4 linked regions of the Arabidopsis thaliana genome follow. The protein of the gene in region 1 interacts with the protein of each later gene in a pairwise test. Each region holds a gene or a part of one and is shown on either strand. Other genes may lie near its edges. The genes, in order: AT4G30790, ATG8E, G1 and ATG13.

The links.
Region 2: the proteins of AT4G30790 (region 1) and ATG8E come close enough for resonance energy transfer, tested with the Arabidopsis thaliana proteins (one study listed by BioGRID).
Region 3: the proteins of AT4G30790 (region 1) and G1 come close enough for resonance energy transfer, tested with the Arabidopsis thaliana proteins (one study listed by BioGRID).
Region 4: the proteins of AT4G30790 (region 1) and ATG13 come close enough for resonance energy transfer, tested with the Arabidopsis thaliana proteins (one study listed by BioGRID).

The regions. Positions count from the first base shown.
Region 1 is NC_003075.7:14,990,836-15,001,427, forward strand, and holds AT4G30790 (autophagy-like protein), read right to left. Parts: upstream 7,815-10,592; 5' UTR 6,951-7,814; coding exon 6,007-6,950; intron 5,911-6,006; coding exon 4,275-5,910; intron 3,690-4,274; coding exon 3,469-3,689; intron 3,326-3,468; coding exon 3,112-3,325; intron 2,980-3,111; coding exon 2,548-2,979; 3' UTR 2,021-2,547; downstream 1-2,020. Other genes in the region: AT4G30780 (ATP-dependent DNA helicase), read left to right, coding at 2-316, 401-574, 658-764, 851-1,152, 1,290-2,020; AT4G30800 (Nucleic acid-binding, OB-fold-like protein), read left to right, coding at 10,381-10,392, 10,508-10,548. UniProt on the Arabidopsis thaliana protein: Accessory protein involved in autophagy. Acts as a scaffold protein of the ATG1-ATG13 complex for faithful delivery of autophagic vesicles to the vacuole.
Region 2 is NC_003071.7:18,621,595-18,627,905, forward strand, and holds ATG8E (AUTOPHAGY 8E), read left to right. Parts: upstream 1-2,669; 5' UTR 2,670-2,784; exon of another isoform or gene 2,785-2,942; 5' UTR 2,943-2,950; coding exon 2,951-2,990; intron 2,991-3,112; coding exon 3,113-3,168; intron 3,169-3,560; coding exon 3,561-3,613; intron 3,614-3,712; coding exon 3,713-3,932; 3' UTR 3,933-4,197; downstream 4,198-6,311. Other genes in the region: AT2G45180 (Bifunctional inhibitor/lipid-transfer protein/seed storage 2S albumin superfamily protein), read left to right, coding at 4,783-5,187. UniProt on the Arabidopsis thaliana protein: Ubiquitin-like modifier involved in autophagosomes formation. May mediate the delivery of the autophagosomes to the vacuole via the microtubule cytoskeleton.
Region 3 is NC_003074.8:19,207,242-19,213,451, reverse strand, and holds G1 (transmembrane protein G1P-related 1), read left to right. Parts: upstream 1-2,602; 5' UTR 2,603-2,788; coding exon 2,789-3,559; 3' UTR 3,560-3,937; downstream 3,938-6,210. Other genes in the region: ATG2 (metallopeptidase M24 family protein), read left to right, coding at 87-171, 267-416, 509-662, 1,149-1,364, 1,450-1,586, 1,673-1,764, 1,826-2,026, 2,115-2,191; BAG4 (BCL-2-associated athanogene 4), read left to right, coding at 5,274-5,481, 5,657-5,913, 5,991-6,137. UniProt on the Arabidopsis thaliana protein: Heme-binding chaperone that may be involved in cytochrome c maturation in mitochondria.
Region 4 is NC_003074.8:18,373,862-18,381,719, forward strand, and holds ATG13 (Autophagy-related protein 13), read left to right. Parts: upstream 1-3,617; 5' UTR 3,618-4,030; coding exon 4,031-5,400; intron 5,401-5,449; coding exon of another isoform or gene 5,450-5,463; coding exon 5,464-5,631; intron 5,632-5,924; coding exon 5,925-6,243; 3' UTR 6,244-6,413; downstream 6,414-7,858. Other genes in the region: LSU1 (response to low sulfur 1), read right to left, coding at 1,574-1,858; UBP26 (ubiquitin-specific protease 26), read right to left, coding at 7,081-7,175, 7,253-7,394, 7,483-7,746. UniProt on the Arabidopsis thaliana protein: Involved in autophagy in a nutritional condition dependent manner. The ATG1-ATG13 protein kinase complex regulates downstream events required for autophagosome enclosure and/or vacuolar delivery. Becomes a target of autophagy under nutrient starvation.

The sequences.
Region 1 (10,592 bases):
GTTATGGAGTCCTGGGACAAGCTCATCGACAATGGCACCAGCTAAGTATAACCCGCTTGATGAGCCGAGTCCTCTTGGATTGAGTCTTAAGAAGAGTCCATCTTTGTTGGAGTTGATTCAGATGAAGATAACGCATTGTGGTGATCCTAAAGCAGCTGAAACGTTGAAAGCTGGTGCACTTGGCTCTGGTCTTAAGAGAGAAAGTAAAACTATTGCTGCTGCTGCATCAGTTGGACCGACTTTGGCGCCAGGAAGTATTGAGAAGCTGAAAGCTTCTAACTTTCCTGCTTCGCTTTTGAAGATCGGGCAGTGGGAGGTGAGTCCTGCGAAATGTTTCGTTTTGATATGTTTTCATGGTGGTTTCAAAATCTGACTTGACTTGGTTTCTTTTTTTGTGCAGTATAAATCGAGGTATGAAGGTGATTTGGTGGCAAAGTGTTACTTTGCTAAACACAAACTTGTTTGGGAAGTGTTGGAACAAGGTCTTAAGAGTAAAATCGAGATCCAGTGGTCAGATATTATGGCTTTGAAGGCAAACTGTCCTGAAGACGGACCTGGAACTTTGACTCTCGTGGTATAACATTCACTCATGTTCTTTTCTTTTGCTCAACATATCACTCTTGTTCAACTTTAATGATTTGACTCTTTATGTTTCAGCTTGCTAGACAGCCCTTATTTTTCCGGGAAACAAACCCACAGCCTAGAAAGCATACCTTGTGGCAGGCGACATCAGATTTCACTGATGGCCAAGCCAGCATGAACAGGTACAGGCATTTCATGTAAATTTTTTCTGAATAAATTTGGTGATGTCCTAGCTTCAGCTAACGATAGTCTCCCTGTGATCTGTTAGGCAGCATTTTCTGCAATGTGCTCAAGGGATAATGAACAAACATTTTGAAAAGCTCGTTCAATGTGATCATCGTCTGTTCCATCTAAGCCGACAGCCGGAGATAGCTATTGACTCTCCCTACTTTGATGCACGGCAATCTATTTTTGAGGATCCAAGTGAATCAAAAGGCCATCCTTTTGGGAATTTGAATCTTAGTACAGGTCCTTCGATCTCTGGGACTCAGAATTTAGCATCTCCTGTTGGGGCTCAGTCATCATCTGAGCATATGTATCTGTCTCATGAAGCACCATCACCCAGCTCAGGTATTATGATGACTGCTCGCTCATTCTAGTTGCTTTCATAACTCGTTATTAGAATATAATTTTTCATTTTCACTTTTGTTGAACCTGATTAGGATTGTGGATTTATATTTCTGTTTGTTTGCTTCGTTCATCTCTAGTGATAGATGCTCGTGCAAATGAAGGAATTGGGGGTTCTGAAGCAGTCAATTCAAGAAACAGAACAGATTGTGGTCAGATCGAAGCACCTGGAATACACCAATCTATGTCACTGAGTGATTTCCTTGCGGTTCTCTGTGATACAAAAAACACAACGGATTTGAATCTGGCTGACGACGTAGATGGACTACACCAATCTATGTCAGTTAGTGATTTCGTTGCATATTTATCTGATTCAAGAAACATAACTGATTCAGATCAGATAAAAGTACCTGGACTACACCAATCTATGTCAGTGAGCGATTTCGTTGGACTTCTCTCTGATTCTGCTGGTGGAAGTCATCCGGAACATATGGAGAAATTTGAGATCATGAAACAGCAGTTGCTAAGTGATAATATCCAGTTCGAGGCACCAGATGAGAAGTCTCTCATGCCAAGGGTTAACTCTTTATTCAACCTCTTGTACAAGGATCCCAACGTCGCTGCAAACTCACAGCTCAATACCGAAATGTCGGTTGGATTGAAGTCTGAACCCAAGGGAATTGTTTCTGACAACAACAACAACAACAACAACAACAACAGAGTTCTTGATACAGCTTCTAGCAGCAAACCACAGGGTATGTTAAGGAAAGACTCATTCAGCGATTTGCTATTACACCTCCCCCGGATCACATCCTTGCCAAAGTTCTTGTCCAACATTTCAGAAGAAGATGGTGATGCATATAATAGATAATTTATAGATACCGCCTTTCTTTTCTGGATTTGGCAAGTATAGGAACCTGGACTAGTAGCTTTTCTGTTTTTTTTTTCTTGTAAATCAAAATTATCACTTGGTAACTACAACCCCCACAGGGATTTGAAGAAACATGTTTTGATGATTAATTTCTGTATATTATTCCCAATATAAACCAAAGTTGGCAGAGGCAAAAGATTCCATTATTTATCCTAAAACTTTTTTATTTTCTCGTAATATTTAGTAATCTTTTTATTACAGCATTCAAATTATAGCAGAGTATGTACAATACAAGGAGAAAAGATTAAACTAAGATCAGTGATCATCAGCTGTACATAAAGAAGAAAGATATGAAAATAAAAGAAAGTTAAAGAAGAGACAAATGAAACCCACAAATCATATAAAGGGGCTGTCTGGTTTTAGATTGTGTTATTTGAATTCAAAGTATTTACATTTTTTGTTCTTTTTTGGGGGGAGGGGGTTTCTTCCATCACGTCTATCTGCTGCCTTAGGAACAAGCAAAAGGATCAGGAAGCTTGTTGATGAATAGCAGTGTCAGGAAGCATTGCTATTGTCACTATGAAGTATTCACATCCTGAAGAGAGACCATAAGGGTTTGATGTTGTTGTTGCTGAAGTTGATGTTGAGATTGAACTTGATGCCAGAGTTCTCGAGCCCTGGTCTGAGCAGAGATGATGTGTCTTACCCGCCTCAGGAGAAGCAGAAGCTGAAAGTTGTGATGGCAGTTTCACTATTTGGCGCTCTATGTGGACAATCTGTCCAACAATGTATGTAGGCCGGCTTGGGAGATGATCTGTGAACAATGCCTCAGATTCAGAGGACAAGTAGTAATTTGGGCAGTTCCTGTTGATTGCCTCGTAATGCCCTGCTTGGTTTAGCACAAATGCTGCTATCTCATGGACTTCAAGACGACCGAATGATATCTTTTCCTTATTTGCCTGTCATCACAAGAATTCACCAATTTTCTCATTCAAAACCGAGGACACTCCAAATTATGAATGTGTAGTAAAAGGAGAAAGAAAATTTACTGCAAGAAACCATGACTGTTACTAGAGATAACACGAGTCTACCTGCTTCCCAAGTTGGTGTTTAGTGTACAATGTTTTCACCAGCTCTTTCTTTTCCTCCAAATCCTTTCTTGTCTGTTCACTTGTGGCTTCAAGATTTTGGCACTTCTCCAATAATTCCTCCCGGTGTTTGGAGAGGAAGCTAACTTTGTCTGCCAGGACTCGGATGCATTTCCGGAACTCAGTAGTACCATCATCTTCATTTTCATTAACGGAGCTGTGAAATTCCCAAGTAGGAGAAATGCAAATTCAGAGAAACATTTTCAGAACAAGAGCTTGAAAGTGGATAAGTACTGCCATATACACAAGAGAAAAAGAACTAAGGTTATCTTTTTGGGAAGCGTACAGATGGGAACTTACTTGGCTAAAGCTTGAGCCAAAGTTCGCAAGGAGTCAGCAAAATCAGCAATCCCACTACCAGCACAGACAGAGCTCCGGAATCTTTCAAAGAGACCTCGCATCTTCACAGCTGATGCACGAAGTGCAGTATACTGAGAAGCTCTACGATCAGCAGCACAAAGATGGGTCTGGGCTTCTTCTCTTGCTTCATGTAAGCAGTTCTCCAAATGCGCACAATTCATCTACAACCAAAATAGTAATGTATACCACATCAGAGGTAAAAATTTAGAGGGAAAGGTTCCTATAATGTGTAAGGTGCACAAGCTATCTGGTGACGCAGAAATAGCAGAACCATGCTTCTCTAGATATTTCTAATTGAAATGTCTGCCAAATCACAAACATTAAACTGTTCATAACCCTCTCGTTAGAATGTACAAGTAAACTAACTGAGAGAAACGAAGAAAATTCACAATTGAATGACTGGTCAACCAGGTGTAATCCAAGATATCATGAAAGCCTTGATCTATGGCTCCTGGAACTGGTTGGCTTCAACTGGTTTAGGCATTGTGCAAAAGCATATTGAACCTTCCTAGTCCAGATGATTGACATCACTACCAGTAAAAGATACACAGAAAATAGACCTGATACTAGCACCTTAGATACTAGAATTTATGAGACGTCTAGGACACAGCAAATACCAGCAACCAAAAGAGTAACAGAAAATGGTGTAAAGATAGATAACACACCAAAAAAGAAAGACTAGCTCCTAGACTAACGATACAATGAATAGATTATAGAGTTAGAAAGATAAGAGAAATCTGCCAAACCTGGGATTCTTCGAGAAGCTTCTGATTCGTTTCCAACTCTCTGCTCAAATTGGATACCTCTTCCATAGCACCATTTAGCTTGGACTCCATTTCACTCAGTTTATTGGACTTTTCCATCAGCTCATTTCTAAGTTCCAAGATAATATCACCACTGTCTTTGGCATCTAAACCTCTGCCAGTTGCCACATTATCATCCAAAGATTTTTGTGGGCTCTCAGCTGTCGAACTGTTACTTAGAAACACACCCATTTCCCCAGCCTCACTATCTTTTCCACCTTTCTCGTTGTTTTGCTGGCTTTCCAGCATCGATGAGTCAAGCGGTTGACTGAGCACCTGAGAGGAATCCACCATATTCTCATCCATACCTTCCCGAGCTTTACATGGCTGCTTGCTAGTAAGATTTGAAACACAAGAGACCTCATCCATTGGTTCTGAACCAGATACATGAGTTTTGTTGCCTTCCACGTCACTTGAAGCTTCTGCTTTGTATTCACTAACTTTTTCATGCATAAGGTTTAAGCCAGATACATCCTTATTATTATGTCTCTGTCCCTGTAGATACTCATCAGAGAGACGTTGTTCCAGTTCACGGATGCGCTTCTCATATGAATCACAGTGCATTTGTTTTTCCTTGAGCATAAGTAGAAGATGTTTCTCATACTCATCTTTGGCCTGCAATGCCTCTGCTGTTTTATCTGCAGCATTTTTCAACACATTTTCTACTTCACTTTCATCCAGTACCTCATATTCAAATTGTGGGCCTAATGAACAGATCCGAGAGATTGCAGAAGCAAGGTCAGCTTTTAGTTTTGCATTCTCAACTTCCATCTTGCTGGTTCCAGCTATCTCTATTAATTCAGAGGCTGCTAGGATATCATCAAAATTGTCTTTGTCAAAAGTGTCTATACCTATCTCCTCAGGCTCAGCGGAAAGCGAGCTATCACCAGACATGGTCAGTGAACTCTTTAAGGATGCAATCTTCGAATGTAACCCAACTAGAAACTCAGGAGCATATCGATCAACATCTGAGATTTCAATATTGAGCAAACTAGTATCATACGGAGCAACATTGACATCACACTGAGTAGGAGTATCGTATAAACCCATTGAAGCCAACACGTCACGAGGTACAAAGGGGCCATGGGTTTTAAGAAACTCCTCACGTTTCCTGACCTCTGTTTCCCTCTTCATAGCAAGCTTCTCTGCCAATTGCCCAGCCATGCCCATGTAAAGCTTCATAGAGGCTTTTCTTCTCACCACCTCTGCAAGACAGGCCCTATAAGCGGGGCCAACACCACGGACTAACTTCAAGTCTGCAAATAAGTCATCCTGGCGAACCATTGCCTCTCTAAAAACGGGAAACTGTAACTTAGCATCTTTGATGATATATGTGACGTATGTTATCTTTTGCATGTAACCGTGTACAAAGTTGTTCATCTCATTCTTCTTGTTCTTGCAGAAATCCAGTAATTCTGAAATTGAGTTATAGCAAGCTTGCATTTTGGGAAGGTGATTCTTGTCATGCACTTCGTACATAGGACCCAGGGCTGAAACAGCATCATGGGGACGCAGAGATGAGGACACTTGGCTAGACATACAATCATCCACAAGTTTCTTAACCGTATTGACATCTTTGCTGTTTCAAGATTTATAAAACACAGTCAGATAAACAACATAAAATTTCCAACAGAGACATTATAAAAGGTGTTCCCAGCTAATGAAATGAACAAACCTGAGAGACTGCATAATGCTCTTTTCCTCATCAATGAAGCGTTCATGATCCTTAACAGTCACTTCTAAGTTCTTCATTGATAAAGAAGCCCTGCAGGCAAACAACTCTTCTACCTTGCGCTTGACCTCGACAAACATCTGCTGGAACTGTGCAATCTTATTCTCAAATTGCCTGTGAGAGCTTGCACAATTCTCCACAGCCTTTTTGAGGTTATCTTCCTTGACAAAGTCCAACAAGCATTTCCTTGACTCAGTTTGAAGATAAGGGTGAATCTTGGCTGACCTCAATTTCTCAATATCCCTTCCAAAATTCATCAGCAAATCAGAGTGGAGGCGGTGTTGATGCTTATAACGCTTCATAAATTCAAGAAAGTTCTGATAGATCACCCTGTAATACTGTTCCAGATTCCTAGTAGCAACTTCAACAGCCCGCTGCTGTACCTTTTGCTCTCTCGTTAACCTTTCGCAGTTCTCATGCTTCACAACCGTACAATTGTAGATGGTGCGGCCTTTATGGAAATGGTAACGAAATTGCCTTTCATACAAAGGTAAAGCCTTTAAAGCTGGATCCGATGCATCATCCAAGGGATGATGTTCATGTAATGAAGCCGGTGGTAAAGCATCAGCAACGTCTTGCAAATCTACATCTTCTGGTGATGGCGGATGAGAGTTACTTTGCAGCATAGCCTTGTTGAAAACAAACACTTCCCTGTCACTTGCAGGAAGTCCAAAAGCAGAAAGCAGCTTTTGTGGCTCAAGCTTCATGTCTAGCGAGAGAAGAAGCTGATCAGATAAGGCAATACCAGAAACAGATTCAACGAAACGCATCACAGATTCAACTGAAGTAGTCTCGCTGCATTGAAATTCAAACGAGTGGCCATTCTCAGCCACACAAAGAAGAAGCTTGCCATCATCGGCGAAACTCTCAGTGAAGCTTCCGCTCATCGTAACCACCAAAGGACCCAAAAATCCTCAACCACAGAATCAATACCCCAAAGTTCACAGCCAAATTAAGAAAGGTGACTCACCTAATCAAATTAGGAACCAAAATAGGCAAGGCTGCCAAAATCAAAAGCCCTCCAACACAAAATCCCAACCACGAATCTGTAAAAGCACAGAGCTTTTCTATATCCTCGATCCTTGACCAAAATCCAGATTCACCAAAAACCCTCGTCGAATCTCGGAGCTTTTGATATGTTTCACAGAAGACCTTTAAACCCCAAGTATCCAGACCTGATCACGACCAGGATACACACAAATTCAGAATCCAGCGTTAGCTAATGTTATCCCAAAGTACCCACCACGAAATTTTCTCAATTCTCGAAATTTAAGCGAAATTCACCAAATCAAATATTCAACCGAATCAATATCCCCCTTCTTTCGCCTTCGTTGCACCCAGAAGAATTTATCCTCTTTTTTGCTTTTTTTGTTTCTATTTAAAAAGGAAAAAAAAAATTAAGCTAACCCTAGAAGACGCAAAAGCAGACGTGATACGACAAAGGAACGCGATTGCGTGAAGAGACGAGTGTCAAAGTCGAAGAATTTATCCGAAGCCGCAACAACAAAGGATCAAACTTCTCTTCACGAAAACCTCTTTCACCACTATACTTAAACAATTAATATCCTCAATTTTCTTCTTCTTCTTCTTCCTCTTCCACTTCGCTTCTTCCTTTTTTCTAATAAATTTTTGACATTTTCAATAATGGAAAGTTGCGCAGAAGCTTCTAATGTAAGTTTACTCTCTCACGCAAACACCAGAGTCGAAGAACCCTTTCGCTCTTCTTCATCTGTTGTCCAAGACAAGACAAGATAAAGCCTGTTTTGTTATAAAAAGTAATTATTTTAATTTAATATTTTTATGGGGGAACGGTAATTCTGTAAGTATTTCAGTTTCACCCCAATAGTTTTGTAAATGGTTTAATTTACCCCTAACAGATTTAAAATTTACACAACCGGTTACATTTGGTTCGGTTTATTTACTTTGGTTTTTCACAAAAAAAAACACATAACGCAACCATAAATTGTACTGTATATGGTTTTGAGTAACGGTATCAACATGAATTTCGAACATGTAAAATCACATTGGATATACACAAAAATAACAACACAAAAGAATAACAAAATTATCTTTTTGGTTCCTAAAAAAATCTGAATCTTGGCGATACGGACAAACAAAAAAAAGTTCAATACAATAAAATTGTGGAGCCAATAAATTACTTTCATTTCTTTTGATACCAAAACTTATAACCAACCTTCAAAACCAGCATAACTCTACTCGTTAATCTTGTTATATTCCTAGATTTGAACCATCGTGGCCATATAACTGAAAGCTGAATTCATTGTGTAAGTAACGTATGATATGATAATACTATATGTGTATAAATAGGTGGACACATATATGTATATAAACTAAATTTGGCATTTCCTATCATATGATATGATAAGCTTGATTGGCATGTGATGTGGATTGGACCACACAAACACACACACACAGAAGATGTCCATAGGCCATAGGCGGTCCATTATTATTGGTAAGAAATGATTAAATTAAGTATGCAAACAACTTGACATTGAAAATGATCTTCTGAAAGTGATATTTCAATGTTTTCACACAATCTTGCCCGTAAATGGTTGCATTTAATTGTTACTAGATAGAAAACGGAAAAAAAGAACAATTTTTTTTTTTGTGTTTTTGTTTTTAATCTCTTTCTAATTATGTTTTTGTGAATAACTGTGTGTTTGATTAATATATTGTTTTCGAGATTCATCATATAATATTTGTTACACTCTATAGATGTGATAGAGTTATCTACTACACCAATAAGATATAAGAAGGCCACATTTTGATTGTAATTGTATATATGAATATCTGTGGACAAAAAGGTAACACTTCACATAATTCCAAAGGCTACGTAACATCAGATTGGTTGAGCTTCCACATGGGAATTCGGCAAATCTGTAATCTTCTGTATATGCCAAATATGTAATTCTTAGACTTAGGAAAAAATGGTCATCTCTTCAATAATAATACTTCTAATTAAATGGTCCTCACTAAAACAATGTTTACTTAATAAAACGTATAAACAAATAGATTTTGTTACATATAAAAGTATAACCTAAAATGCATGCAGCAAATTTCTGGATTGTTAGCATATAGCTCAGAACAATCGGAAACAAGATGTGCTGCCACCTGAAACAAACATACTAATATATGATTATTAAGTTGACATGACCTAAGGGGAATCTCGTGAGATTCGTTTTTTGACAACTTAGCTTTGGATCCAGAATCAAACATAGCCCACACAAATGAAAATAGGATAACATGGATTCCACAAACTCTTCACACTTTTTATATTATATATAGTACTTGTGATTTTATAATATAAAATAAACTATATCAATGATATTAGCTAGATATTTAATTCGCGTTGAATGTGGATACTACAAGAGTTTGATAGATTAAATTGATTCAAGCAAATATTTTAGTGGGAATTTGTAAAACACTACATCTTCGTTATCGACTTGGGTATGAGACTAAGAGACAATATATATATATTCTATTAAAAAAACTCACTGTTACATGCGATAAATGGATGAATAATTCTTGCTTAATTAAGTTTGAGTATATTACTTTGTTTGTGACAACCGAAATAGTGTCAAGAACTTCATATCACTCGGTGGATTACTTTATTTGATTGAATCTTAGTTGATAACGAAATCCTTTCTTTTTCTATGTATTTCGATTATTAATGTAATCAGAAAATTTTAAGTATTTTTTCACGTTATCCAACTTTGAGAGTACTGTCCTTGTGTTGGCCAATAAGTGGTTGAATATATGGTAAAAGTATAAAAGCTCCCATCATGTTGGACCTACTAGCTTTGCTATATATAAAATGTCCTGTCATTGCATAACGTACCACTTTCTGAATCTGTTTTACGTGCCTATCAATGATTTGTCTTTAACACTTACCGTAATATTCTACAATTAAGTTCAAGTGCCTAGATTTTCTAAATGTGTATAAAGACATTATATATGGCAAATGATCCTTTAGATAACCATTTCATTTAAATCAAGCATTCGATTCGCATTCATAGATAAAATACTATTCACCGGTCCAGTTCTAACTAGCCATCCAGTCTGGTTAGAAAGCAAAATTGTTTATTTTATTTTAGGTTCAGTTTTCAGATCGGTTTTCTAACACTGTTTTGGTTTGGTTCTCGTATCGGTTCAACCGGATTGGATAGTCATAAAGAATTTGAAGTCCTTAATTAAGCCCAAAACAAGTAGAGCCCATATATATACTAACAAAGCCGTGATTAGGGTTTTTGGTTTTCGTCAGAAGATTTCAAGGTTTAGGGTTTCTGCAATTCAACCATGGCAGAGCAGGTTTGGATCTACATTACATTGTCTTTATGTTATAATTGGGGATTGCTAGTTGTTGGATTCTCGTTTTCTGGGTTCTTTGATTTTGGCTTTTAATGATGGATTGGTGTGTTTGCAGACGGAGAAGGCGTTTCTTAAGCAACCAAAAGTTTTCTTAAGGTAATTGTCACACCTCAAAAATTCAACTGCTTTGTATTTTGGCT
Region 2 (6,311 bases), on another chromosome or scaffold:
TTTGAAGAAAATACTAGTATTGTTTTGTGTGAAAGCATCTCGAAACATTTCCACTATTTTGTTAAAAACCTAAACTATAAGTTTATATTATTTGAATCGCACTTTGATATATTAATTTTGGTCAATGAAAATGACATTGCTATGTCAAATTTTTCACTCTGCTATTTGTTTTAAAACAAATGTTCATTTAAATATTAAGTAGTTAATGTACATTTTGTCCATTCTTAATAAACTACTTACATTAGGTATACAATATTAAAACAGTACTAAACACCGGTGTTGGAAACCAAACTTATGTTAAAATTATAAAACAATTTTTTCCTTGTCAACACAAATCAAATTAATCGCACGGTCCCAATATGTTGTTCACAATTTCTAAGAAAATTCGTGGTAATGAAACACCTCGATGACATAACATGGATCACGCTAACATATTTGTTTATTCTATATCTAATTCACTACTACATCTACAACCATAACAAGCACACAACAATAATATAATAGCATTACCAATAAATCAAGTGGTTATGTATGTATTTAACAACAATAAGTGGAGTAAATGAAAATCAAACAAGGAGATGGGCAGCTGGATTTCCAAGACAAGATTGAAATTCTTGGTTGCTTGTGTATGAATGTAAAGTAGACATGCTTATTATGTTATTATTATGTATCAGTATTGCCTTGAGTTAACCATATATTTACGTTCTTAAACCAGAAAGAAAAAAACAGATTATTATTATTATTATTTGAGCATTGTCATTATGAGAGACATGGTTTATTTCCCAAGACAAATCACAAACCTCCATGTGAGTTTCCACCACTATTGTGTCTCTGTCCTAAAACAAAATGTGTATCGCATTAAATTAGTTTTCGCCCCTTTTTGTTATTTTTAGAATACAAATTACCAACTTGCTTATTCAATCTTAGAGGTGATGACTAGCTAAAGAAGGGACACCACTAACGTGCCACTTGTGTAGAGATATTCAATTGTATATTATATAGTATGCAATATGAATTTTGTTTTGTTTTTTATATAATTTATATTTTTTCCGCCAATATTATTTTATTTATATGAAGTCTTAACTTATTAAACGTTTGCACAAAAAAGAAAAAATAAACTTCTTATTACGTCTCATACACAGGGTTCGGACCTTATTAGTGGCATTTGCGCAGAGTTACTATTATCGATCACTTAAAAACATATATAGGAAAAGTATATCGGTAATGGAGCTCTAGATGTAGAAATTTCGTAATGAAATTATGAAATCTCAATTAAGATGAACATGGCATGGCATACCTAGCCTAGTTGTATCGATGTTATGTTTGGATTTATATGCTTATGGCAGAAAGTAACAAATACAGAAATACAATAATGCTACTACATGGTTATAATATATGGTCTCTTTTGTTAAGACAACGACCAACACAACTACACCACAAGATAATCATCGATTAGTACATTATTAAATCTTAACTATTATTGCTAAAATCTAGGGATAGTTGAAATATAAAACTATACGATGCACTATTACATACATTCTCCATTAATCATTTGGTAATGATGAAGTGCTCCAATTATATACTACCTTTCTTTATTTTGTTATGTTCCTTAACATCTCTATTACTAAAGATTTTCGGAGATTATGAAATATTGTGAGGCATATATGATATATTCATACAAATTACTCTACACGTTTTTGAAAATTGATAGGTTTAAACATGATTGTACCAGGGAAGACATGGTCAAACAGAAAGCTATTAGCTTTGATGAGGGACCTCTTAACAAAAAATTTGTTGGTAGAGCCAAAATGATTGAACTGACAAATTTTCATAGAGTTTGGTGAATTGAATAACTCCATATGACCAATTCTGTTTTGTAAGACAACGAAAATTATGTTTTTCGAATATCTTTGTGTTATCGTACAGAGGAGCGAGTCACCAGAAAGCACAAACACAACGATTTTGTATCAATTACATCGATACGCAATACAAATATTTGGAATATGTCATACATATGTATTGGGCCTTTATCTCATGTCTCATCAAACCTCGTATCTATCATAAACTTACGATTCACAGACCCACTTACTACTTATTCTGGCCCATTAAAGTTCTTCTTTTTTTGTCGGTTCTAGCCCATTAAAGTTCAGCAACCCTTATTATTCATTTTTTAGTCTTTCTATTTCTAATTATTCAATTTTATCCAAATAATGAATGAATAAAGTTAAACACCGACACTGTTATATATATATATATATATAACAATACACCGCCACGTGAGAACTACGAATGGGAATTTCGCATTACATGTTTCGTTAACAATATAAACTGGAGGAAAAAAACACATCGAAAGGAAAAAAATTCAATGTAAGAAAAAGTGAGGGAAAGGCAAATCAAAGACGTGTTCTACACTAAAAGGAAAAGTATGAGGAAAAACTAACAATAAATTAAACAAAATTTGGTATTTTATTACGTAATAGTAGTATTAATTAATTAAAAGAATTGACATTGACCTAACAAAAATTCTTAAAACAAAAAGAAAGAAAAATTTGTTTGAACAATAATGGAATGACTTTGTTTGTTTGGAGAACAAGCTAAGCTGACGTGTCTAATAACTCAACACGTCAGCTAACAGACATATATAAACAAGTGTATATAGAGTTAACGTTATCCAATCATAGACGAAAAGAAAAAGGTTCCTTTTTTTGACTTTGTATCCGTAGATCATCTTCTTCTTCTTCTTCCAGAGTTTTATCCTTATCCGTTCCATCAAATTCTCTCTCTGTAAGTTTTCTGTTGATTTCTCTGTTACATACTCTGTTTTGATTTCTCTAGATTTAGAATTCATTTTTTTCCCCGAAAAGACGCGGAATTTCGATTTGGGTGTTGAAAACAAAATTAGGGTTTTGTGTCTCAATTTCTTTGATTGTGTATATTCTCAGAAGCAAAGATGAATAAAGGAAGCATCTTTAAGATGGACAACGATTTCGGTTAGTCTTTTATTCTTTACTGTTTCGATTTTGTGACCTAGAATCAGTATAGAGGCATACATGTGTATCAGCGTTCATATCTGTATATGTATATCTGATTTCTAGAGATTGTTTATGTGCAGAAAAGAGAAAAGCTGAAGCTGGAAGGATCAGGGAGAAATACCCTGATCGAATTCCTGTAAGTTTTGTTTTGATTTTTATCTGATTTTGTTCTGGTCTTGTAAGGTTTTCTTATGGTAATAGATCTCTGTTTTGCGTGTCTTTCAATTTATGATGTAGCATGAGTCTGTGTATGTAATTTAATAGTTTAGTTTGGGATGCATCTGTCTTTGTGTTGTTTTTGTTAATTTGATCAGTTCTGTTCTGTTCTTGTAAGGTTTTCTTATGTTTTTGTACCTGTGTTTGCGTATTTATCAATGTATGCTGAATTCGGTTTCACAAACAATATCATGAATCTTCGTGGTGAAATTTAGTTTAGGTTACAGAACATTAGCTTCGTTGTTTGAGAATCCAATACTGTTTGTTTTTTCTACAAGATTCAGATTATCTTACATTGTAGTTTGGTTGCAGGTGATTGTGGAAAAGGCTGAGAAAAGTGAAGTCCCAAATATAGACAAGAAGAAGTAAGTACCTTTTGTTGATCATGTTAAACTTGTTATTTGTTCAATGTTTTCAAGACTTGTATGTAATTTTGGAATTGTTCTGGATTTTGATAAATGCAGGTACCTTGTGCCATCAGACCTAACAGTTGGTCAATTTGTGTATGTGATTCGGAAGAGAATCAAACTAAGTGCAGAGAAAGCTATCTTCATTTTCGTAGACAATGTTCTTCCTCCAACAGGAGAGCTAATGTCAAGCGTTTACGAGGATAAGAAAGACGAAGATGGCTTCCTTTACATCACTTACAGTGGCGAGAACACATTCGGTGCTTCTTCAATCTAATCTCTGACCTCTGAGAATCCGCCACGTTTTAATGCTTCTTCCCAACTTTCAATTTGTGTGTATAGTTTGTTCTCAATATTTATCATTTCTCAAATAATTGTGATTACTATCTTCTTTTCACTTGTTAAAATGTACATAGACTAATCTTATAATATTATCTTCCTTTGGTATTATAAGTTTGTGTGGCTTTCTTTCTCCCTCAAAGATTTCATTCATTAGACTGGTATCATTTGATGATGCTACTACATGAATTCTTTCTTGGATACTAAACGGACCACTCTAGAAGGTATCTTACAAATTTGGATAAACTAGACCAAACCAAATATTGGAAACGAGTAATGATGAGATGTAGACTCTTTGAATTTTGTTTTTGGGATTATCTTGTCCAGTTGCATTTGGAAATATAATCGGTTGATGCTGAAAGATCTATCATTCATAAAAAAATCTAAAGGAATGGGGACTAATGCAATGTAAAACAATATCTTATCAACAACGTATAATGGATCTACACAACTATGATCAAACTGATGCATACCACCCAGAGAGACACTCTGTCTCAAAGTTTGTGGAGCCTCTTCTTTCACAAACAAACAAGACAAAAATCTTGTCTTTTCCCTTTCTGTGATAGAAAAATAAATTAACAATTCCTAAAAAATAGTCTAATCAATTTCAAGACCTCAAGTTGCAAAAGCCAACTAGCTGGATAGTTTTGTTTCTTACTCTAATTTTCTTAAGTCGCTCACATGCTATTTTATCTCTCGGTATATGTAATTAGTAATAACTTGTTCTATATAAACCATGTCCTATATCTCTCCTTCACATTCATCCCAAAACATTACAAAACGTTACAATGGCTTCTAAGGCTCTTGCAGTTACAGCTCTTCTTATTACACTTAATCTTCTTTTCTTCACCTTTGTAACCTCCACAAAATGTCCACCAACTACTCCTAAACCCCCAAAAACCCCGAAATCGCCTAAGAAGGCTCCTGCCGTGAAACCCACTTGTCCTACCGACACACTTAAGCTTGGTGTTTGCGCAGACTTATTGGGCCTAGTTAACGTTGTTGTTGGTTCTCCACCAAAGACTCCTTGTTGTACACTTCTTCAAGGTCTTGCTAATCTTGAAGCTGCGGTTTGTCTCTGCACCGCTCTTAAAGCCAATGTCTTGGGGATTAATCTCAATGTTCCTATTGATCTAACCTTGCTGTTGAACTATTGTGGCAAGAAAGTTCCTCATGGTTTCCAATGTTCTTGAAGATTTGAGACTTTAAAAGAGAAAAATCTCTTTGGTTTGCTATGTTTTTATATGTTTGTTTCTACTGTTATCTATTGTTTTTGTGAGAAAAAGCTTTGTTCTGTCACTGTTGAGTTTGATGTAATGCTTGAGCTTGTTCATGATAGAACCTTTGTTCTCTCAATATTGAGTTTGATGTAATGCTTGAGCTTGTTAATGGATTTTATGTTCTTAGTATTTCTCCTCTCGTCCATAAATGACATTCAATCATAACGCTCTTCTATTCGTGCTCATGCTTCAACGCCTCTATTTGGTTTAGAGGGTCTCTACGTGGTCTCTTATTGGTTAATTATTATCCAACCCAACATAGGCCCATATGGACCTATAAGTCCAGAACAACATGGACCACATTAGAAAGCGAAAGGGTAAAGCCGTCATTGTTGCATACAACACGTAGAAATTAGATGGGTCTAGAAGTAACGAAACACTGCGTTTTGTTGGATTCTTCTTTTGGAACTCGTAAATTGACAACTAAGCTTGTTTACTCGATGTTGGGGAGTGTATAGTACGATGATCGGAAAATGAAATAAATATAGTCGGAGACTGAAGAAAACTATTCTGAGAAGCAATTTCCGTTGGGATCCGGTGCTAAGGATTTAAATCATTTTTTAGTCCAAAAAAAAAAAGAAAAAAAAAAGAAGGATTTAAATCATTTTATTATCATCGCATTATTGTATACCAGGCCCACTGATTGCTAAGGAAACTCGTCATTAATATTAATGGGCCGAATTCTAGTAGGCCTGATAACATATAGTCACTTGACCCAAAACGTTTTTTTTTTGTTATTTATCATGCTTGCTCATATCCTAATGTCATTTTTGTTTGATTTGCTACTTATATCCACCGCTCTATATTGCACCAAAAGAAAAAAAGACGAGTTAAATTTAAGTCTGATATACACTTTTAGATTAGCTTATTGCTATCACTGAATTTTTGATCTTACGAAATAAATTTATCTTAACTTTTAATTTCCCTCTATTTTGACAACAATTGTCGTTTGATGCATGCCCCAGTTCTTATTTAATTATACCATATCACTATTATAAAACCATTAATGGGAGCAATAAGATTGAACCATATGCAAC
Region 3 (6,210 bases), on another chromosome or scaffold:
TTTCTTGTTTTAAGTCCGATTTGGATTTAGGGTTTTGAAGGTGTAGCTTTATCGAGTATTGATTTCTGTTGGGTTTTCAATTGCAGAGGCGTTACAGGTTGTTTTAGCTGAATGCAAACCAAAAGCTAAGATTGTTGATATCTGTGAGAAAGGAGACTCTTTTATTAAAGAGTGAGTATATCTCAATTTGTTCTTAATGTAGATTCGACCTTGGATTACTCTTAGATATTTATGTGTTTGTTCTTTCTTCTGTTTTTGTATTAAAGGCAAACAGCAAGCATGTACAAGAATTCTAAGAAGAAGATTGAGAGAGGTGTTGCGTTCCCTACATGCATTTCTGTGAACAACACTGTTGGTCATTTTTCACCGCTTGCTAGTGATGAGTCTGTGTTGGAAGATGGTGACATGGTTAAAATGTAAGTTGTCTTCAAGTAATACCTGTTTTTAGATGTTTCTGTATGATTCACCTGTGTTATTTCTGATGTTGTTTTGCGTTTCTCAATTGCAGCGATATGGGATGTCATATTGATGGGTTCATTGCCCTTGTTGGTCACACACATGTTCTTCAAGAAGGGCCTCTTAGTGGGCGTAAGGCTGATGTTATCGCTGCCGCAAATACTGCAGCTGATGTTGCTCTAAGGCTCGTACGTCCTGGAAAAAAGGTATCATCAGTTTTACTCTTACATTAAACTTGAAACTATAGGCTTTTGGTACTATAACTGCCTCTTGAATGATTGTCAAGGTTTTACAAAACCCAGATGATGAACACTTAATAAATGGCTATGGATTATTATCCATATGATGCTTTTTTGTCATAGTTACTCTGATGGGATTTTTCTTATTCTGATTTTTAGTCTGATCCCTCGTTGGATTTACTATGAGATGTTGGAACTTTGTCTAAGGTTTTCCTCTCTTGGTCTTGCACGATGCTTTTTTTTTTTAGCGGACTTCAAATGTAAATTGTTTTGGGAAAAGATTTCTGGATGAAGACCGTAATTGTTATGGATTCGCATCCAAATGAGGCCGTAGTTACTCTGATGTGGGAAAGTTCTTTAAAATAAAGTTTCTTGCTACGAGTTTGTAGTTTCTTGTTTAGTACTACAACATATTGCAATCAAGACATTGATATTCTGTTTTTCTTATCGCAGAACACTGATGTAACTGAAGCTATTCAGAAGGTAGCTGCAGCTTATGACTGCAAAATTGTTGAAGGTGTTCTTTCCCACCAGCTGAAACAGCATGTGATAGATGGAAACAAGGTTGTGCTTAGTGTATCCAGCCCTGAAACAACTGTTGACGAAGTGGAATTTGAAGAGAATGAAGTCTATGCAATAGATATTGTGGCAAGTACTGGTGATGGCAAGGTAATTTCTTTTGTTTATCGCATCCCGATCACTATTGGTGAACCTTTGTCTATTGCCATTGTTCTCACAATCTTTGACTTTGCAGCCAAAGCTATTAGACGAGAAGCAAACAACTATTTACAAGAAAGATGAAAGTGTTAACTATCAGTTGAAGATGAAGGCCTCCAGATTCATAATCAGCGAAATTAAACAGAACTTCCCCCGTATGCCATTCACTGCAAGGTGTCTTTTGTACCTTCTGAAGCATTTTATATTCCTTAAACTATTATCTCACTTGCTAACGTTACCTGAGAGTATTATCAATACAGGTCACTGGAGGAGAAAAGGGCACGGCTTGGACTTGTGGAGTGTGTGAACCATGGTCATTTGCAACCATATCCTGTTCTTTACGAGAAGCCTGGTAAGGATGATGAAAGGGTTTTGAATCTATAAACCTCTTTTATCTGAATCTTGATATCAAGGCTCATGTCGTTTTGGTTTTCTACCAGGGGATTTTGTTGCTCAGATTAAGTTCACAGTTTTGCTGATGCCAAATGGATCAGATAGGATCACTTCACATACACTTCAGGAACTTCCTAAAAAGACCATCGAAGACCCTGAGATCAAAGGGTGGTTAGCTTTGGGCATCAAGAAGAAGAAAGGTGGTGGAAAGAAGAAGAAAGGTAAGAACTTAAAATAAATTTCCAGACTTTTACCTTATATGACGTGATCCACATGTTGATTAAAAAGGTTCAATTTGGTGTTTTGCAGCCCAAAAGGCGGGAGAGAAAGGAGAGGCTTCAACAGAGGCTGAGCCAATGGACGCAAGTAGTAATGCTCAAGAATGAGTAGGAAGATTTGTCTTTGTTTCTTTTAAAGAATTTTTGAAACTTGAGGTACCTCTTTCGTTGTATGTTTGGGTTTCAAGAGAGTCTCTTCTTAAACAAAAAAAAACAAACAATAGTTTACCACCTTTGTGCATATTTTTGCACAAAGCACTTTTCATCATCATTTCTTTGCTTGTCCTAATCTTATCTCATTCTCTAATCAAAAATACTTATCTGGTTTCAGGCTATAACAATAACTCTGTTTAGAAACACTTGTTACCAACAAACTACTCTTTGAATGTGTTTACGTGGTAAGGATTTGATCCCACAGAAGAGAAATATTTGTGACAGAAGAAAAAAACTCAGCTCTTCAATAATCGAAGCTTATACAGATTTTTGGATTGGTTGATTTTGAGATTGTAACGAATAGTAATCAGAATTTCACTTAAGAAATTGTGATTGAACCCTCTAAACCACAGAGAGGGTTCTTGACGTGGTCCATAGTTCTTCAGTGGGGCGGCTTGTGGCTTCTTTTTCATTTTTCCAGAAAACCCCATAAACCTCTCGCTCTCGGGAATTTGATTGATTCCCACGAGGAAAAATCAATCTTCCCGGAAAATGGCAGCTAGGTTATTGTTCCGTCGAAGTTCTCAAATCCTCCGATCAATTCAACGAAATCCTCAAATCTCATCGTCATTCGAATCACCACCTTGCCCGATTTTTCACTCATTGACCACCGCCTCACCAGATCCATCGCGATTATCATCCTTAACCTTCCTCCGATCTCTCTCCATCGCTCGTCGCGGTCCAACACGTCCTAAGAAAATCGATATCGGAGCCAAAGCGCGTCAGATGCAGAATCGCCGTTTATGGACCTACGCGCTAACCTTCAGCTGCATCGCCGGATTCGTAGTTATCGTCCTTAACCAATTTCAGGATCAGCTTGTCTTCTACCTAACGCCATCAGACGCTATGGAGAAATTCGCAGAGAATCCAACAAAGAACAAATTCAGACTCGGTGGTTTGGTTCTAGAAGGTAGCGTTGCGCAGCCGGCGGCGTCACAGGAGATGGAGTTTGTGATCACTGATCTGATCACTGATATTTTGGTTAGGTATAAAGGATCTTTGCCGGATCTGTTTAGGGAAGGTCATTCAGTTGTGGTTGAAGGATTCATTAAGCCGTATACAGATGAAGTAAGGAAGGAAGTTTCTACAAAACCTATTTCGAAGAAAGCTAGGAACCTCGATTGTTTCTTCTCGGCGACTGAAGTTTTGGCTAAGCATGATGAGAAGTATATGCCACAGGAAGTTGCGGCGGCGATTGAGAAGAATAAGAAAATTATTGAAGCGGCGGCGACTGAACAAGCTGCTGAAGTTGCGGCTTCTTAGATTGGTATAAACTTCATTCTTTTTAAGTTAATCAAAATTTTCCCCAAGTTCGAGCTTTTGGTGAGTATTGTTCATCTTATAAGGTTATATTTGATTATAGTTTCTGGAAAAGAGTAGGAAGATTGGAATGTTATATTCCTGGAAAACAGAGATTTGATTTTTGAGTCTATTTGAGAATTAAGTGGAGAAATGTGATACACTATACAATAGCTTTGTTTGATTCCACAAAGCTATAAGCTAATCTACTTTCTTGTTGTGTTGATCAAATAAAGAACACTTTGACGAGGGATCAAATATGCTGCTTGATTCATTGTGTTGTTGGATGTTTTGTTTGTTGTTGATGTGCACACAGATTAGAGAAGCTATGTTTTGTTGCTGCACACAGATTAGATTGATCTAGTGAATCTTATTAGCTTCATCAGGTCGTGGGTATATAATTGTAAACGTATCACCAAAGTTGTAGCTTGTGTGACCTTATTCTTATCATGACTAGGTACTATAGCCAAAAGAGTTGAACATACAGGTCTTTCAGAGCTTCCTCTTAGTTGTTCTGGAGGTTCCAAGCTCTTTCTTTGTTGTTTTATAAATATGGGTTGAGCTTGTTGACAATCTTGAAGATGGTCATGCATTCCTTTTATGCATCTTATGTTTCAACTAGGCAATTCTGGCCCTGGAGATTTCAAGTTTGTACTTTCTGAGTCGATTAGGTGCCTAGTTTTTGCCTCTAGAATCATGGCATTGGCTTCTGTTTTGGCACTTCTCTTAGGCTTGTTGGTTGATAACCAACTACTAGTCTACTAATGTAGCTGTAGTTTGAAGTGTTCCGCAGTTACGCTATTGCTTTTGCTTTTTTTAAGTGCATCTTTATATATGCATCAGTCTCTCATTGTATAGCAAATTTATCGTGGGTGGTATATGATTCAGTCAACAAAAACTGACTATCAAGTATGGAACGAGTGGTATATGATTGAGTCATCAAAAATACTGACTATCAAGTATGGAACAAGAGCATTACGATATTTGTCACTACTATATTCGATTGCTATTGTGTGCTTGGTCCATTTTGAATATGGGACAAATCACCATTACTATACTTGCTGCCCTATACTAACTAGATTATTCCATATTCCTCGTAGATAGTTTTTGTTTTTTGGTTCAGAGAAAGTTCAGATTTTAGGCCTATAAGTTCTTTTGGTTGGGGACCATATCAAGTTAAATCTCTCACTATATGCATTGTGGCGGTTCGGCCGACCTGTCTAAAATTGGGCTTGTTCAAATCCTGCCTCAAATCCTGCCAAAGCGTGAGTTATATACATATACATTGACACTGAATCATTCCATCCAGGGCCGGTTGGCTGGATCCAAAATCAGTCGTTACCTATTTTTGGCAATCTTAAACTTATTGATTTTTTTTTTCTGACGTTTCACAAATCATCATCATATGTGAAAAACCAAAACATCTATATTAAGAAGAAAAAAAATATTGTTACAATTTCTGAAAATATTTGGTTCATTTAGTCCTTAAAAATTCTAATTACCAAAAAAGACAAATATATAACAATTGAAACACATGTGTGTTATCAGGAGAATTTGTATGTTTTGAGGAGGTGTGCATCATCCGTCTATCAATACCCTGACAAGGAAAACCCTAATTTTTTTTGGCCCAAAGGGTTTTATACTTTAATCTCATACTCCGATTCATTGTCGAAAAACGATGATGCATAATTCAACCGAAGAATCGGAATGGGAGGTGAGACCTGGTGGTATGCTCGTCCAACGAAGAGACGACGCCGCTTCCTCCGACCACAAACCTCTCCAGGATCCCGACTCTGCTTCCGCCGCTTTTGCTCAAACCATCAGAATCACTGTTTCTCATGGCTCATCGCACCACGATCTTCATATTTCTGCTCACGCCACTTTCGGTAACAAAACTCTCAGCTCCGTTTCTGATCCATCGCCTGAAAATTCCAAATAATCGAAGCCTGAGAGAATTTAGCGTGATTCATTATGAAATTTTTCTTGCTCTATTTAGTTTTTGTTGAAGTTGTGTTAGTGTAGTTGAAGATTGATATGTTTAAGCTCGAATGTGATAACTAGGGGATGTGAAGAAAGCTCTTGTTCAGAAAACTGGATTGGAAGCTAGTGAATTGAAGATCTTGTTCAGAGGAGTTGAGAGAGATGATGCTGAACAATTGCAAGCTGCTGGTGTTAAGGATGCGTCTAAGCTTGTTGTTGTTGTTGAGGATACGAATAAGAGAGTGGAACAACAGCCTCCTGTGGTAACTAAAGAGATGGAAAAAGCTATTGCTGCTGTTAACGCGGTTACAGGAGAGGTCGATAAGCTCTCGGATAGAGTGAGTTTTTATAAGCCTGTATTTCTTTTGGAGATGACGGAAGGATTGTGCTTAAGCTAGTTTTTTTTGGTAATTAGGTTGTTGCTTTAGAAGTTGCTGTGAATGGAGGGACGCAAGTTGCGGTGCGGGAGTTTGACATGGCTGCAGAGCTTCTTATGAGGCAGCTGCTCAAATTGGATGGCATTGAGGCTGAAGGGGACGCTAAAGTACAGCGTAAGGCTGAGGTTAGTTTTCTTGCTTTGTTAAGCATGTTTACACGGTAAGAGTGTTAATAGAGTTGGAAGATATATGAGTTGT
Region 4 (7,858 bases), on another chromosome or scaffold:
ATTTCTTCGTGCCTCCAGTGGACCACTTCTACTTATCCCAAGTCAATGGCCGTCGCACCAATGAAACACGTAACGATTATTCCTACTAATTCATTATTCTTGAATCCACCAATATTAGTCATTAAACCCATTAATCTAGGCCAAAGTCTAAGCTATCTCTATTTCCTAAATTGTTCATGGAACTATAGTTAATTAATTACAGTTTGGTCACCCGATATCAAAAGAATTATAGCTTTGTAAACAGTCAAATTCGATAGTCGATATCGTAGACAAATGATTCCAATAATGGTAGATCCTTCTTTTCAAGAGATATCAAAATCAGGGATAAAGTAGCATAAGAAAAAAGCCAAAGAAGAAAAAAAAATCATGAATAATCGTTTGCCCAATTATTACAAAATGCCAAAAAAAGCTGCGACATGAACAAATTCGGAGCGTGGGATGATCACATTTTAGACCATACAATTTGATTGAGTTCCTATACTGTCCAGGTTCAATGTATCTGCTTTCTTGTCCGGTTTAGTCTTCCAAAATTACATACTGGCTCACTTCGGTTTAATTTATTCTAATTTGGTTCAACTTTGTTTAGAATGAAAAAAACACACACACACACATCTTTCTTGAAACAATTGAAGTTTCAATTCATTTTTGGCAGGCATGGTTTACTCCGGTACCGTTGTTGATTAAATAAGAAATGGTAATAATTTTAAATCTACGCATGGCATATTCTCATCGTCAACGGATACTATCTCAAATTTATTATGATCAAAACAGTTAATTAACAGCAAAACAAACAAAATCACGTCAAAATCGAATGTCAATATTCCTCTTAATTTGCCAGCACCACATATCTTCATACTATTTTAAATGATTTTTTTTTATATTAACAAAATAAATATATAATTAAATGAAATAGAAACAGAAAATGACCCTTGAACCAATGGAAAACTTACACAATTTCATGTTTCACGTCCCCTAAAGACTATTGTTATGGTTCCATAGAAAAATCATTGAACCATTCTCTCCTACGGTTTCCATTGACCACAAAAAAAAAATCCTGAAGTTGTGGAAAATTTCCATGAAACTCATGTACCCAAAAACCCTTTATTTTTTTCTACACTCAAGTTTCAATTAACTCTTCTACGATTCCTTTGAAAATTATGGTAATGTAGGATTTCATGGAATTTAAACTTCAAAGTTCTTCGATCCCCTTCGAGTCTCCAATACCTACTAGTTCCATAAAATTATTTTGATAGTTAAGATTGACATTAGATCTCACTCATATATTATTACTTCATTACTTAAACATGGTATCATTCCAAAATATTATTTGCTTCCATAAGAACTTTTGTAATTAAAAGTCAAGACAAAATATGCAACTAGTACCAGAAATACTAATTCATTAGAAATGGAGTTCAACAATTTGTATGATTATCAGAAATTCTAATTTATTCACTAGAAATGGATTCAAACATTTAATTTATGTTGAAAACATAACATATTACCATCGATCTATATACATGTATAGTGATTGTCACATACACAACTATACATAACTTATGAGAAATATCTTATTCTACGAGGAAGAGACGACAGAAGAAGAAGAGAGACGAGAGATTTGATCCATGAGGAAGAGCATGCGATCGTGATAGTCACGTGCCTGTTCTAAAGACTCGACCTCCAGCTCCGCCAGCTGCGAGCAGAGTTGCTCTTCCGCCTCCTCCGCCACAACCGTTCGCTGCCACAACTTAATCATTTCTGTCTTCATCTCCGCCACTTCTCTCGAGAGCTCTATGTTCCTCCTCCTTAGCTCATCCATCTCTTCCGCCGCCACCGTCACGCATCCTCCTCGGTTCGCCATTAAGATTCTTTGTGTAAAAGGATTTGATTGTGGTTCTAACTTTGTTTCTTGATTTGTTGAGTGTTAGGGTTTGATTATGTTTCTTTAATAGGCGCTTTGTGTAGCTTTTGCATGTCCAGGTTCAATGTATCTGCTTCTTGATTTTTATTTCTCCTCACTTTTGATTTCGGTCAATATTTTCTCCTTACTTGAAACTTAAACATACTCATGGCTTATGTATGCATAGACCACCCCAAAAGAGAAAATTTACTATTTTTTTCGAATGTTCAATTTTTTTTTTTCGTTTTTTTATCACAGTTTCGCTAGGTTCGATTTAAATATTTTTTATATGAAACTTAAACCAAATTAATTTCGAAATTTCCGGTTTATCCATGTTATTAACTAGTTTTAACTTTAAAATTAATAAACAAATTGCCGTCTATACAACTATAAATTGATAAATGGATAAATATATGTTAACGTGTAAATAGAATAGTAATTAATAATTCTAATGCCGTGGTTTACACAAATTCAATTTAATTATTTATAAATCTCTGGTCCGTCAAATTTGTAATAAAAATGTGTTGGTCTGATCTCTGATGTATGTATGTGGTATATATTGATTACATTATTGAGTTAGTAGGGCTTGAAATAGGTGACGTCTGAAGCCAATCACTATAGTGTTTCTCACTTTCTTGTGATATTGTGAGTTTGTGACAAGGATTTATTCTTTAGATTATTAACTAACAAGTTAATAATTTGGGAAAACGCTGCCGCTTAATATTGCGTTACTTATATTATGATTGAAGAACTATTATGGGATATTTCACGACATCATACATCTACAACCACTATAAAATAGAAAATTAGTGTACTATCACCAAAAATATATTTCTCCTGTTCCATGAAATTTGATGTTTTAGATTTTTTTTTGTTCCATAAAAATTGATTTCTTAGGTTAATATTATTATTATTTTTATTAATGACTAATAGAGAGAGGAAAGAAGTAGAAATTATATTATTAAATTAACAAAAAAATAATATAAATAACATAAAAGTTAATTTTCTTAATTTGGGTGAAAAACCCAAAACATCATTCTTTTAGGAACATAGAGAATATATAATAGACATTTACAACTTATACATTTGTTGATAACATGCAGTATGTTAGTTTGAATACATATTTTTCACAACAGTAATAATAACAGTTGTTAGAAGACTAAACTACATTGTAAGAATCGCTTTCTCTTGTAATGATACAATATAACATATAACATTTAAAATAAAATAAAAATCTGTAGGTTTTAAAATGTTAGCTACGTAGTCCATAACTTCAAAAAACCAATGGTTTTGAACTCATTCCATAGTGATGATTGCAAATACATATTATCTGGTTTACAAAAAAAAAAAAAAAGTGTTCCAATTATCTAGAAATGTTGGGCCTAATGCTTAAACAGTAAGCCCATATACTTAAACATCCGACTTGGCGCATTTGCTTCACCTTCTCTACCAAAAAAGCGCGTGAGATTCAGGTTCACTGTATACATTAAGAGCCTATTGTCTTGTCTCCTGTAAAACCAGAAGAAAACAAAAATTCAACAAAGGATAACAAGGACGTGGCTATTCTTCATTGGCTGCATTCACAAGAGTCGAATATTAATTAGTAATTTCACAGTATAGTACATTAAGATTAACGAGACCTATTGTCTCCTGTAATTGAGGCAACAAGATAAGGGTAAAACGAGAAAAACAAAAGAGAACAAAGACGTGGCTATTTATCATTGGTTGAATTCAATATTAATTTAATTAGTAATTTCACAGTGTTCTCAAATCGTGATCGTGTGTGTTTCTTCTACCTCTGAAACTCTTTTTGTTTATGTTGATCATCATCATCGTCATCTGCGTGTAAAACACACTCACGCCATCGTTGACGTCTCAGATCTTCACATAAAAGCTTCTATTATCAAACTCTCTTCCTCACGGTAACCCTAACTATCTGTAATTTATCTCTCTACACTTTCTTCATCTCTTAATCACCTTAATCATCTTAAGCTTTGTATTTCTAGATCCTTCTCCCAAAACAACGATTCGTGATCTCCGTTCTCATAGATCAGTTTCGGATTTGGATATTTCTTAGGGATTTGTGTGAGATATTTTTAGAATTGTTTCGATTTAGGGATTTGTGTGAAGAAGATGGATTTTCCAGAGAATTTGCCTTCAGATATAGGAAGATTAGAGCAGATTGTTTCTCATTTCTTCCCAAAAGCATTACACATAGTTCTTAATTCCAGAATCCCTTCGTTGCAATCTCGTGGTCGTACTCGTGAGCGTTTATCAGGTCTTAACGTTAGAAAAAGTGACAAATGGTTTAATCTTGTGATGGGAGATCGTCCTGCTGCGTTGGAGAAATTGCATTCTTGGCATAGGAATATTCTGGATTCTATGATTATTGATATCATTCTTGTCCATCCGATTTCAAACGATAATTTGGATGATGATGATGATCATAGTGATTCTGTTGTTAGATCAGCTGAGACTGTGATTGAGCGTTGGGTTGTTCAATATGAGAATCCTTTGATTATGTCTCCTCAGAGTTCTGACTCTGCAACGCGTTACCAGAAGGTTTACAAGAAATCTATCATTCTGTTGCGGTCTCTTTATGCACAGACTCGGCTTCTTCCTGCTTATCGTGTCTCTAGGCAGCTGAGTTCTTCTCTTGCTTCTTCTGGTTATGATTTGATTTACAAGGTTTCATCTTTCAGTGACATATTCTCTGGTCCTGTGACGGAAACAATGAAAGAGTTTCGTTTTGCTCCTGTTGAAGTGCCTCCTGGTCGTCTTTGTGCATCGGTTACTTACCGTTCTGACTTATCTGATTTTAATCTCGGTGCTCATATCACATTGCCTCCGAGGATTATAACTGATTATGTGGGAAGTCCTGCAACAGATCCTATGAGGTTTTTCCCTTCTCCAGGGAGAAGTGTTGAAGGCCATTCCTTTACTGGTAGAGCTGGTCGGCCTCCATTGACTGGTTCATCTGCAGAACGTCCGCATAGCTGGACTAGCGGCTTTCACAGACCTCCAGCTCAATTCGCAACACCGAACCAATCTTTTTCGCCAGCTCAGTCTCATCAGTTGTCACCTGGGTTACACGATTTCCACTGGTCACGTACAGATGCTTTTGGTGACAATCACCAGCTTTCACCTCCCTTTTCACCATCGGGTTCTCCATCTACTCCAAGATACATATCTGGGGGTAACAGTCCGCGCATTAATGTGAGACCAGGGACTGCTCCAGTGACCATTCCTTCTTCAGCCACGTTAAATAGATACGTTTCATCTAACTTCTCTGAGCCAGGTAGGAATCCACTTCCTCCTTTTTCCCCCAAAAGCACAAGACGCTCCCCTTCATCGCAGGACTCTTTGCCTGGGATTGCGTTGTACAGGAGTTCTAGAAGCGGAGAGTCTCCTTCTGGATTAATGAACCAGTACCCTACTCAAAAGGTTATGCTTCTTACATCTTATGTGTCTTGCTCAATGCAAGAAAAATATCACTATATTTTGTATTGCCTCATCTGATATTTTGTTGATTTATTTATATCTACTCTTCAGCTGTCAAAGGACAGCAAATACGATTCAGGCCGCTTCTCAGGAGTTCTGTCTTCGAGTGACTCACCAAGATTCGCGTTTTCTAGGAGCCCCAGTAGATTATCTTCCCAAGACGACTTGGATGACCCTGATTGTTCATGCCCTTTTGATTTCGATGATGTTGATGAGTCAGGACTTCAGTACAGGTTGGCTTTATCCCACTACCTAACTTGAATCATTCAAAGGAAATATTATATACTTGGATTAGTTTACAGAAATCTTTACACATAGAGCTGGTCAATGACAAGATGCCATGAAGAAAACACTAATGTGTTGGCTGTTTTGTTTAATGTGAAATTGTTGGCATTCACACTCTATACTTGGCCTTTCTCTTACTGTTTCTTTATCATTTTTTGGTCTGTCAAGTTCACTTCTTCTTGGGTTTTTTAGTCTTTGGTAGTAAGAAAATGACAGATATTTTGCAATTTTTTCGATGCAGCCATAGTCTTGACCGGAGGAAAACTTCAAGCTCTATATCGCAGTCGCTACCTCTAGGGAGAAGATCATCACAGGACGCAGCGGTTGGTGTTCTGGTTCACATGCTGAAGACAGCACCACCATTACGACAAGACTCAAGCACTTATATGGCGTCAATGTCTGGGGTTCAGAGAGAAGGTTCAGTGTCAGGTACAGAATCTGAATTTTCGATGGCTCGTAGCACATCAGATGCACTAGAGGAACTGAGAAACTACAAACAGCTCAAAGACTTGCTTCTCTCCAAATCCAAAAGTGGGTCTGGACCAACTCGCGTCCACTGAGCCAAATCAAAGAGCGATCAAGATATGAGTTATCCGATGGTTGTTTGTAGATATGAATTTGATGACGAATACTTAACTCTGTTGTATATTGCCAAAGAGCAATCACGTTTTGGTTTCTGTAAAAGAACTTGCCTTTGAATATGCACATAAAATAAACTAATCAAACTTGAATCTTTTCATTATGAAGTAGTGAAATTTATTGAGGGTTTTGTTGTTGTTGACAAATCATGTGAAAACCTTGTTTTCTCATCTGGACCTCTTTCTAGAAGAAACATGAAATACACAAATGTTGAAAACCGGTCACCTATACTCTTTTAAGATGAGTGTGAAACGAAGCAAAGAGTCACATTGATAGAGAGATCGGATGCATGATAGTTCCTACTGTGATAACAAGCTATTTGGGTATAAGGTCACAAGATGTGCAGCACAAAACGAGAGAGAGAAGAGTTTTAAACGCAATGCCCATTTAGATAAAAAGTACACCAAAAACACACACACAAAAGTCAGCTTCAAATAGCCATCCACAATAAGCCTTTGCATCTACACAAATTCAGCTTGTGCTAAGCTTTCTCCAAATCTTTGCGTTTGTTTTTTACACAAAATAAAGCTCCAAAGCCTTGCCTGCCTTTACAAAAAAACTGACCCAAAAAATGTGTCGTCCGTCTCCTGCACAACTACTGAGAAAGACAAAATCATAAGACCACCGCAGATAAGAAGAGATTTTAGTTTCGAGAAAGTAGCTCTTATAAGATATTTTACCTCCTCTAGATGGTCCAATGACTCTTTCTCAGTTCTCACGCATTCTGTTTTTACACTTTGATCACAAAGTTACAATTTCTAGCAGGCTTCAGAAGAGATATTCCCAGTCAATAGCGTCCCTCGAAACCCTTCTTCGATATCTTGAGCCCCCGGTTTCTTTTCACATAACTCATCTGTTAAGACATAAGATGAATAGTTTTACATGGACATCTCGCTAACCAGACAGCAGAATAATGGTAAATTTGGTTACCAGCAATATCGCGGTGTTCATGCATCTCTGTATCTCTCACCCAAAGCCTGTCGCCGGGGAATATGTTCATGTCTGCAAGGGTTGCAGATTCCTGATCAATCACTTTTGAGCCTTTGTGGAGTTCCTGGTTTTCCTTCATCACCTGCATATTTTATTGAAACCCCGTTTTGTTGTGTTTCTTCAAGTTATCTACAGAAACGAAAAAAACACTATGTCTAAAAGAATCTTACCCCAAGTAATTCCCATATCATCATCTTTAATTGGTATACAGTCGTTGTCGCAGACACTTTCAGGCTTGTCAGGTTTCCATAATTTGTTCTCCGAGATCGCTTTGAAGTACGCCGATCCACCTCAAAGCTAGAGTCAGATGCCTCTAACATTGCTTTTGGAGCTTCCTTTCCACGCACAAAACAGACAAATACATCTCCCTCAGAGTAACTAAGTTTCTGCATCAACTCACAGCTTTCTCTCTCTCCTATGCATTCCTCGCAAATCTAGCGAAAATAAAAGATCCTGTTAAATGCAACTCTAGTCATGAAGTCATACAATAATAAATGTGAATGCAAATGATCACACTTGCTTTTAAGAAAAAGAAAAACAGTATAC